2 linked regions of the Drosophila melanogaster genome follow. The protein of the gene in region 2 interacts with the protein of the main gene of each other region in a pairwise test. Each region holds a gene or a part of one and is shown on either strand. Other genes may lie near its edges. The genes, in order: CG16734 and Alh.

Region 1 (4,243 bases), 2.1 Mb from region 2:
CAAGCTGATCTTACGCGCGGATCCTACGAGAGGCGCAAGTAAGAATATGGCCGAATAAACATAAATAGGCATTTTCCGGTTTAATTTTGAAACCAGCAAATATCTATATGTGTATCGTTTAATCTTCCAAAGCTATGAAAGTTAACCCTTTTTTGTAGCTATCGAAATTTCTGGAGAGGACTCAAATGTATGTACGCGAAGGGAGGATTTACTTACCTATTTACCGGTTGGAAAATAAACTCGATTAGTAGCACAGCCGTGGCCGTGCTGTATACTCCTATTAGTGATAAGGTCCATACAGTGATATCATGGTTCCACAGACTCGACGAGCCGTGGCTTAGCGATCTCATAACTATGGCGCTAACAGGCAGTATTATCACAGTCATTATGACACCAGTGGATGCGTTGGCTACTCTAACGTTAAACGAATCCTCACACTATGGCCGCACTTCCTATCCATATCTGTATCGGAAAATTATCCGAAAACATGGCTACAAGGGCTTCTTTTTTGGATGGAAACCGGCACTAATGGCCCTTATCCCACATACTGTTTTGGCAACGTTTGTATATCGCTTCTTACTAGATCGCTATATAACATAAAGACCCCCATATTTATTCACAAATCTTGTGGTGCACAATTGACAGAGCCTCCTTGAATTCTGATAGTTGGGCGGGCATTGTTTCGGTTATCCCGTTTTCCAGTTGGAAGCTAAAGACTTCGATGAACCGCGAAACGAGCTGGGAAAAAATTGATCTGTTAGATGTAACCAGAAATATATATAGACATAATAACATACTTTTAGAACTGGAGGTGCCTTCTCGTGGGCCACCAAACATTCCATTAACACAGCCACAAACTTCCCGTAAAACTCCGGCAGGTGCGGATGCAAAGCTTGCAGAGGAATAGGCATGATGCAAACCAGATAGCATCTTAGCAGTTGATCCAGTAAAGCAGTGCATACCTCGACACCTTGGAGCAGCTTGCTCGACTCCAGGACAAGCATTTGTAGGATGGCCTTGGCCCAACGATAGCTGGTGCTAACATTTAGAGCAAGGCATACGTCCCGACACGCTACCAATTTATCTGGTTCGCATATATCCATGGCCAAAGCAGTTTTCACATCGCTGCGATTGATGGTGAAGTAGTATCCTAATCGGATGATATACTGCAGCAGGCAGATTAAAACTTTTGGGCTGGAGGCCATTGTCACGTTCTGAATGAGGCGTTCCAGCATGTCGTCGCATTGGTTCCACTAAAGTTGCCATCATATTTATGTTCAGTAACTAGAGTAAGTTTCAAGGTACACACCGTGAAAGCATCTAGATCTACAAAGTGATCAAGACAGAAATACAGGCAGTTCCAAACAGATTCGATGGCTTCAATTGAGTCCATGTTGTAGACATCCTTGAGGGCATGGTCATAGATCACACTGTGCACGTTCAGTTCCTGAATGTCCTTGGAGTCCTGAAGGATGAAGTGTTTCATTGAAGGTCTTGGCGCTAAAGTGGTCTAACACGTACGCTAAATTTTAACATCACTGAGAAGATCTTGACCCCAAGTTGCTTGTAGATAGTATCATAGCATTCGCGCACATTAAGACCCACGGATAGTGCAAAAGCCAACATTTGGGTGGACATTGCGGATTTCTTTCCGTAACGAAGCTGCGGGATAAAGTAAGTGAACAAACTGGACTATCTGGATAAATATTTGTCTGTTAGTGTATACCTCTAGATATCTGCCGAAACCATGCACAGCTCCTAGTTGTCTCTTCCAGCAATCCCTGTGCAGTTTCTTCTCGTAGTATTTCAGGAATTGATCATCCGTCGACTCCCACCAATGGGAAGACAGCTTACTAGCCAAATCATTAGCATACTTCAGGAGATTACCAGAGTCGTCCTTTAGTTGGTAAATTGTAGGCGAAGCTGTCAATTCGCAAATCAGCAGGAGGAGCTTGAATCTTAGCTGAAAGTTAACTAGATTGTAGTCGTGGAATTGAGTGTTTGCAAAGCACAACCTCTTCGTGTCCTGCATCACCACTTTTCAGGAGGAATTCCTGCACCAAATCGTAGAGCTTTGGCAGATCCTGGATAAGTAGGGAATGGTAGCTGTCGAATTGCGACGTCTCCAGCTGAATGTTGTCCAGGTCCTCCTTCAGCTCCGGCAGCATATAAAACTCCAACAGCTCACACATGTGAGTGGCGAGCGCTTCGGTGGTATCATCGCAAGTCATTTTGTTTTCGAAAATCTCTTTTAAATTATGTAGCATCCAAAACGTAAACAGAAAAGCCGGCCAAATCCGATAACACTCGGCAACTATCGATTTAACAGAATTTTTTAGATAACTTTTAACAGATGTGAAAATGTTAGTAGAAATGACTTCGTCACAATACTTATTTTTAAAAAGAAAACATTTTAGTTTTATGTTGTTGACGAACATGAAAAAATTCATTTTATTTTCACAAGTATTAGAGGAAAAGGAAATACAGAATCAGTGGCACCCTCTTTAATAATTAAACTGAAATTATATATCATTTGTATAATTATAACTTATTATTTTTTTTTATTATTTTCTCTACAAAAAGAACATATGTTTTGTTTTTATTTTTTTAAACAGTTATAATATTTTTCTAATTGGCCTAATCAGGCGATATAGTAAGACTTATCATAACCATTGGCAGTCATTTCCTGGTCAATCCAATTTCGAATCGATGATACGTTGGTCATGCGGGTTGGTCCCTTGAAGAATCTGAACACCACAATGCCACTAAGCTGGTAACGATTTTCCGAGGGATTTCCAAGGGGACAGGCCAGCGGTCCACCAACATCGTCGTAGGCTATTTCTACGCCTGGCTGGCCTGCAGCGCATAGTATGGATGTGCTTAGTTAAAAGCTCCAAATATTGATAGCAAGTGATCGCGACACTTGCCAGTATCCACAATGCGCAGTGGCATCCGTTTCATTATGGTTGTGTATTGGCCCGAGTTACCGAATGCATTCTCTCCCCATCCATTGGCATAGCACAATGAGGTGGGTGGTGGAGCAGCTTCTTGGTCAGGTAGACATATCACATTAATATGATCGTTCAGTTCGAATGATTGCTCGAGGATTAAGAGTGCCGCGTTACAGCATTTGGGATGCTTTATAATTCTTTGCACCCTTATCTCTTGAGACTGTAGAAGCTCAAAATTTTATTTTAAGTCCAATATCCCAGCACGAACTGTGTAGTTTTCACAATTTTCAACCCGGTAGGTGACAGTCATAACCACCCGCGGATGAATAAGTGTGCCTGCAAAGGAATAGTTACCGGTCTTCATTACAGCCACTGTCCAGGGAAATTCGCCAAATTCGGATTTATACTAAATGCCAGCTGGGATATCGTTTAAACCACCGACATTGAGAATTCCACAGCCTCGTTTTTGGCTTTGGGCTCGGACTTAAAGTCGTTGTTCGTAATCGATTGTAGGGACAACATAGTGCCAATATATCTGGACAGTGGATATTTTGAGTATCCAAAATACCATCCGACGGCGGATAACATTGGTTATAAGGCACACACTGGCAATTTGGAGCAATTTGGAGCAATTTGGAGAGCGTCCACACTTTTTTGACTTTCATTCATAGGCGAGCGTGGATTCAGGACATCGGCATTTGATCTATTCACTAAAAACTTTAAAAAGGTTTGTTCTCGCATTTTTCTCTTCTTCAGAAGCATTTAACCTTTGGGCGCTCAGTTTTGAAACAGCACAAAATACGACCAATAGTCTTAAGAATCCAGTCATTTTATCTGGAATATGAGTCACAAATTTTTTATTCGAATTAAAGAGAATAATTTCTTAATGTGAAATTTATCACTAAAATTTACTTTCATATATTCCAAGAAAGAATATCTATCCAGGAAGTTTTTAAATTGCAATTATCTAACCTTATAATTATAGTTTTATACGATTATGGGCTTCTTCGATTGTTTCCTTGTTCATAAATACCTCGTTTCCAACAATAATTTTAAGAAATTTTGATTCGCTTAGAGTTGTAGAGAACTGAATCTTGAATCTCTGATGGTTGTAGTGTTCGCAAGAGCAGTTTAGAAAAGACTGGTGGTCTCAGATTTAAACACAAACCTTGTTAATTTTATGTTTTTATGTTTTTGAAAGCTTAAATGTTGATAAAAAGTGGAAAAAAAGTTTTTAAAGACAAGAAATTAAAAAAAATTGGTAATTTAATTTAATTTACGGATAAGTAACC
Region 2 (5,302 bases):
CGGAAAAATCACGAATGCTATCCCTCACATACGCACCAGTTTGCTGTAATGGTGCTGACAGTAGCCGCAGTACTTCACATTATCCAGATAGTTACCAGCCTCCTCGCAGAGCAATCCAAGGCTCTGGGCGCAGGTGACGTGGAACTGCTGCTTGCAATTCGATTTGTTGCACTGCATACAGGCGCCAACATTGGCACGATTTGGTTTGCCAATTTCCTGGCAAATATAGCAAGCTGAAAATGGAAACGGATTGTAATTAATTATTGCCATTTAGCTAAGGCTAGTTTAACAAACAGGGGTTATAATTTTTCAATGAGTAACATTTTTTAAATAATATATGTAAATATAAAACATTTAAACATAGCTTACTCTTCGAGTACCGCTCCTGCGGTATTAATGACAATATGATGGGCTCCATGGTGGTCACATTCCCAAATCGCACCTCTGGGATGTACAGGGCGCAAACAACGTGCGCCCACCCGCTATTATCCGTCTTCTTAAGGGCGCCATCCCGCGAGGGACATAGTTCGCATCGGACGCGAGAGGTTCGCTCCTGGGACTCGCACTTGCGACAGTACCAGGGTCCAGTGGGAACCGTCACAATGCCATAGCACGCCTGGTGCACTGCCACAGTACAGTTCTGGCCGTCACAGTAGACGAGCGGGTTCTCCGGCCACCCCCGCTCGTCTGAACAAACGCAACAGCCGCCCACCATCTCCTTCATATCGTCCAACTTGAACTTTTTAATCTTGACCAGCTTCTTGTTCAAGCTTGTGGAGTGAATGGTGTCGTCTTTGCTGGAGTCTAGCTCCAGTTTCGCATTGAATGAAGACGGAATTTTGTTGGAGCTGCAAGTATATATATATATATATATATATATATATATATATATATATATATATATATATATAATATAAGAATTTTCCTTAAGTAAAAAGAGGATTTTTAAAACTCAATATATTTGGGTCCAATTAACGTTACCAGAGGAGCGTTGAAAGTTGAGCGAAAAGTTGAACATACATAAGTATGATGCACTTACGAATCTTCTGAATTTTATTTGTAATAGTATTTCTAATAAAAACAACGACTTTTTACCAAATTTGTATGGAATTAGCAGTAAAATTTATAAGAAATTTATTTGTTCAGCTTTCCTTATCAAGAAAATAAGCATGCTCTTTACTTTTTTCTTTCACATTTTTGTAATAATTTAAAGAACGTAGAGTCTATATAAAACATTTTTTATCAGAGCTCCGCTCCACCCCGCTCGAAGTCGACGATCTTGAGATAGAGGTTCCGGCCTTTCTCGTTATCGATAATATGCTGCTATCGAGGCAGGTGTCTATTGGCAAGGTCATTCGCACTCGGTTTTTCCACAATAACATCAACAAAAACAGTAGCCCTATAAAATATTATACCTAATTGTGCGCTTGTATTTACAACTTGGCCTTCGAAGCGAGAGCGAGAGAGATGGCACATGGAGCCCCGTTCGCAGAACATTTACACGCACACACAAATAATCTCTCAATGTCAAGGTAATTTTGCCGCTGCTTAATAATACATGCTAATTATGTATGTCGAATCATTTAAATAAAGACGGCCGAAAATATAAACAGCTATGCCACCGAATATTGATAGGAGGTTTTAGCACAGCAATACGAACAACAAATATTTTTAACTTTCACAAAACGGGCAACGCACACACAAACACTCTCTTCTGCGGCATTCCGTGGGCTGGTGTTGGTTCATTGAACCTGATTTAAATGGGCTACCAAAAATAAAACAGGAAAATGCAGCCCTGCCCCGAATCCAATTGGATGTCGATTTGGTCCCAATGTGCGATCGAACGCAAATATGTGGGTCGCGGAGATTTCACAACAACAACGGCAATTATTATAATAATAATAATAACGGCATGCGGGTGCTGTTTCTGTTTCATTCATGCATGCGCATCTGTGCGAGAGATCGCGGCGGAGGAGAGTGCGGGTCTAGTTGTACCGTTATTGGGTCAGCGTGTTGCCAACTGCCGAAAAAGAAAAACGCAGCCAGCGTGTTGCCAACAGCGGGTTAGCTGGAGTTCTCTAACTTAACGGTGTAAAATCACACACACTTGGCCATATGAAACGAGGCCGCTCTGCACGTTGCTTTTGTAATGAAGAGCAATGCACTTTCGACACAAGCAAACACACACTGTCGTCAGGCAGAACAGATACATACACACGCACGCGGGGAGATGCTACATTAATGTTGACGAAATGCCGGAAAAGGGGGCGCGCTTTTGGGGGGTGGAATACGGGTGGGTGTGTGTACATGTATATATGTACCCCATTTAAAACATCCTTCGGGGGAGTTTTTGGGGACTGGAGGGTAGTTTCTCCCAGTTTCCGCAACTCGTCTCTTAAAGCACTGCTTAAATTTCCTTCAAATTGTGTGTATACCCGTGGCTTGAATTTATTGATTTTTATGGGCAATTGCTTTAATTTCACTGGCCAGCAGGGCTTTAAAACGTCATCAGCGGTGTGCCACCAAACAAAAAGAAACTAGTTTCACGGCGGGGAAAATGCGCGCGGTCAAAGTCGTCAAGCAACGCACAACAAAAACAGAAAATATCTATTTTTTTCAGGGAGCGGTCTATCGAAAACTTGAAATTCTTTCGACTTTCTTGCTATTTTCACGCAGAGGTTTCTTATTGGCCGCTAGCACCCTCACAGAATATTGATTTTCTAAATTTCTTTACCCAATTTGGCACTTTAAATAAATGGTTTCCAGCCCGCAGCTGTGGGTTAGCGTTTATCTAGCTTTTCGTGGCTTTTCTCAGCACTTTTCCGCGTCTCACAGTCTTCACAGCCGCCCACGAGTAGCAAACGCACGCAAGTAAAATAATCAACACTCAAAAAAGGCGCTGAACAACACCATCCACCAGCGCAACAACAACACTGTGTGCGCGAGTATTTACAACTACAGCTACAACAACACCAGCAGCACACACCACTCCACACACCTTGTAACTTGTTTGTTGTTGTTTCGCTCGCACATCGGGAGCGAGCAGTGCGGGCGCGAGAGGGAGACAACACCACCTGCTCTGTATACAAATGCAGCTTAGTGGATACAATTTTGCTGGATGCGCGGTTTTTCCAATTGCCCGAATATCGCGAAAAGCTTGCAATTCCGAGACGTTCCGCGTTTTCCTTCTATGCAGACAGGTTTTTGAGCATTTTAACGCCGAAACAAGAAAAACCTCGGTTACCAGACGAATGGGCAGATTTCTAGCGATGGGTACTTTATCAGAGAAGGGTAAAATGCTTAGAGATGGGATGCGACTTGTCTGCATTTTTCCAGATTCAAAGGAAAACCCGATATTCATTATAACTTCCCTCTCTTATTCAATGCTGCTAATTATGGTGTAAATGAAGGTTGTAATTTAAGTAAATCGAATTCTTATTGGTGTTGGATCATAGTATTGTCAACATTAATGCTCGTCATTTAAATAATGGAGATGTATAAGGAAATATTTTATATATAGAACACTAAAATACCTAATCCTTATAGTTCTTTTAGAATTCTCCATACTAAACAAATAAATAACGTCCGATGTTGCCAGACGAGTCAACGGCTCATCGCCACGGTTCATTTCCACGATATATATTGGGCAGTGTTGAATAACGTTTGAACCTTAAACAGCTGTGGGAAAAATCAATTTTGCAACTCCCTCGCGCACTTCTGAAGAAACTTCTTCGCGAGAAAAGCACGGATAAAAATGACCAACGGTGACTGCTTTGTTGTTCTGCCCGAGAACTGTGCCGAAGGAACTTTGATCATCGGTCGCAATGCGGAGGACGAAAAAAACGTCAACGTTGCTTCGGAGGTTTGCTTCTACGATGCCACCGAAGTGCTTGAGGGGAAGGTAAAGACAGACTCCTCCGAAAACGAAGCTCGATCAATGACTCACCACCCAAACACCTCACATTTCAGACTGACGGTGGAGCTTCTGCCGAGACAGGCGGCGATATGTTGCGTGTTATATTGCAAAAACCGCAGCCGGGTCTCTGGGGTGGGGACTTCGGGGCCAATGAACGCGGAGTGGCCCTAGGTCTTACCTGGGCGGCAGGTGAAAACGAGGCCAAGGACAGCGACAGCCTGCTGGGCACGGATATAGTGCGGTAAGTTCTCTTTCAATATCTGCGTATCAACAAACTATGCACAACAAAGCAAATTATTTGCACTTAATATAAATAACTTTCATCACTAAAAATGTATGTACATATGAAGTCTATATAATGCAGAACGTAAATACTTATTCAAAGGATGACATTTTGTGGCTGATGTTTGTAATTAGCATTCCAATCCTTTCGTGTCCTTTAGGGCTTATTAATGCTTGAAGATACTATTATTTCAACATTATTTCATAAGTTAATTAAAAACGAATCAATCAGAAATTTAATGTTGTCGAGAAACTAAGGCTTTTACAATTATTATAAATCATGAAATAATAAATCATCTAATAACTTTTTTGTAGCTTGACTTTGGCTGTCGCCAAAGATGTGGACGATGCTGTAGACCGGATTGGAGCTTTGGTGGCCAGTCACGGTCACGACAACTCCAAACTAAACTTCATCGCTTGCGATGCAGCTGCTGCCTGGCTTGTGAGTTGCTCTGGCAAGGTATGGGCCGCTGAGAAATTGGAGGCCAGCTTCTTGCGTTTGCCCTCCGGAGGACTGGCTGTGACCACTGTGGTGAACAAGTCAAGCGAGGGATTAGATGACGCTGCCAGTTTTGCCGCTGCTCACGATGCAGAGGCCCAGGCCCCGGCAGTGGATTGGTGTGGTCCCAAGCCAGCTGGCGATGGAACATATACCCAGCACGACATGTTCGAGACGCTGCGATCCGCCAGTAATGCGAGCAGCTCGAGGGCGGCTACCGTTTCGGTGCTGTCGGTGAAGGGAATCTCATGCCATTGGTTCACCGGGACGCCCAATGCCGCCGAGTCTGTGTTTAAGCCGTTCGTTTTTGCCCCAAATCCGAGGATCTCGCCGCTAACCCAAGTGCAAGCGGAAGCGGACTTGACGTTGCTGCACAAGCTACACTCGCAACGCAAGCCGGCCGCCTTGGAGCACTTGCGCAGCTTGGAGCTCTCCTGCGTGGACGAGCTAAATAACTATTTCTCTCTGCAGGATCACGCCAGTGACGAGCTGGACGAACTGCTCAAGGACTGTGTCGAGGCGGAAGTCAAGTTCTATCGCTAGACCAACGAATACTATCTATATGGATACTCCAAAAACTAGCTTGCAAGCTCTATTGAGCATCG

The links.
Region 1: the proteins of Alh (region 2) and CG16734 interact in a two-hybrid assay, tested with the Drosophila melanogaster proteins (one large-scale study listed by BioGRID).

The regions. Positions count from the first base shown.
Region 1 is NT_033777.3:9,253,082-9,257,324, reverse strand, and holds CG16734 (uncharacterized protein), read right to left. Parts: upstream 2,274-4,243; 5' UTR 2,232-2,273; coding exon 2,016-2,231; intron 1,964-2,015; coding exon 1,727-1,963; intron 1,663-1,726; coding exon 1,522-1,662; intron 1,466-1,521; coding exon 1,310-1,465; intron 1,254-1,309; coding exon 798-1,253; intron 739-797; coding exon 613-738; 3' UTR 601-612; downstream 1-600. Other genes in the region: CG16736 (uncharacterized protein), read left to right, coding at 1-38, 159-600.
Region 2 is NT_033777.3:7,120,906-7,126,207, forward strand, and holds the start of Alh (alhambra), read right to left. Parts: upstream 3,281-5,302; 5' UTR 3,034-3,280; coding exon 2,999-3,033; intron 2,834-2,998; exon of another isoform or gene 2,735-2,833; intron 849-2,734; coding exon 370-848; intron 234-369; coding exon 37-233; intron 1-36. Other genes in the region: CG10098 (uncharacterized protein), read left to right, coding at 3,755-3,901, 3,970-4,157, 4,514-5,240.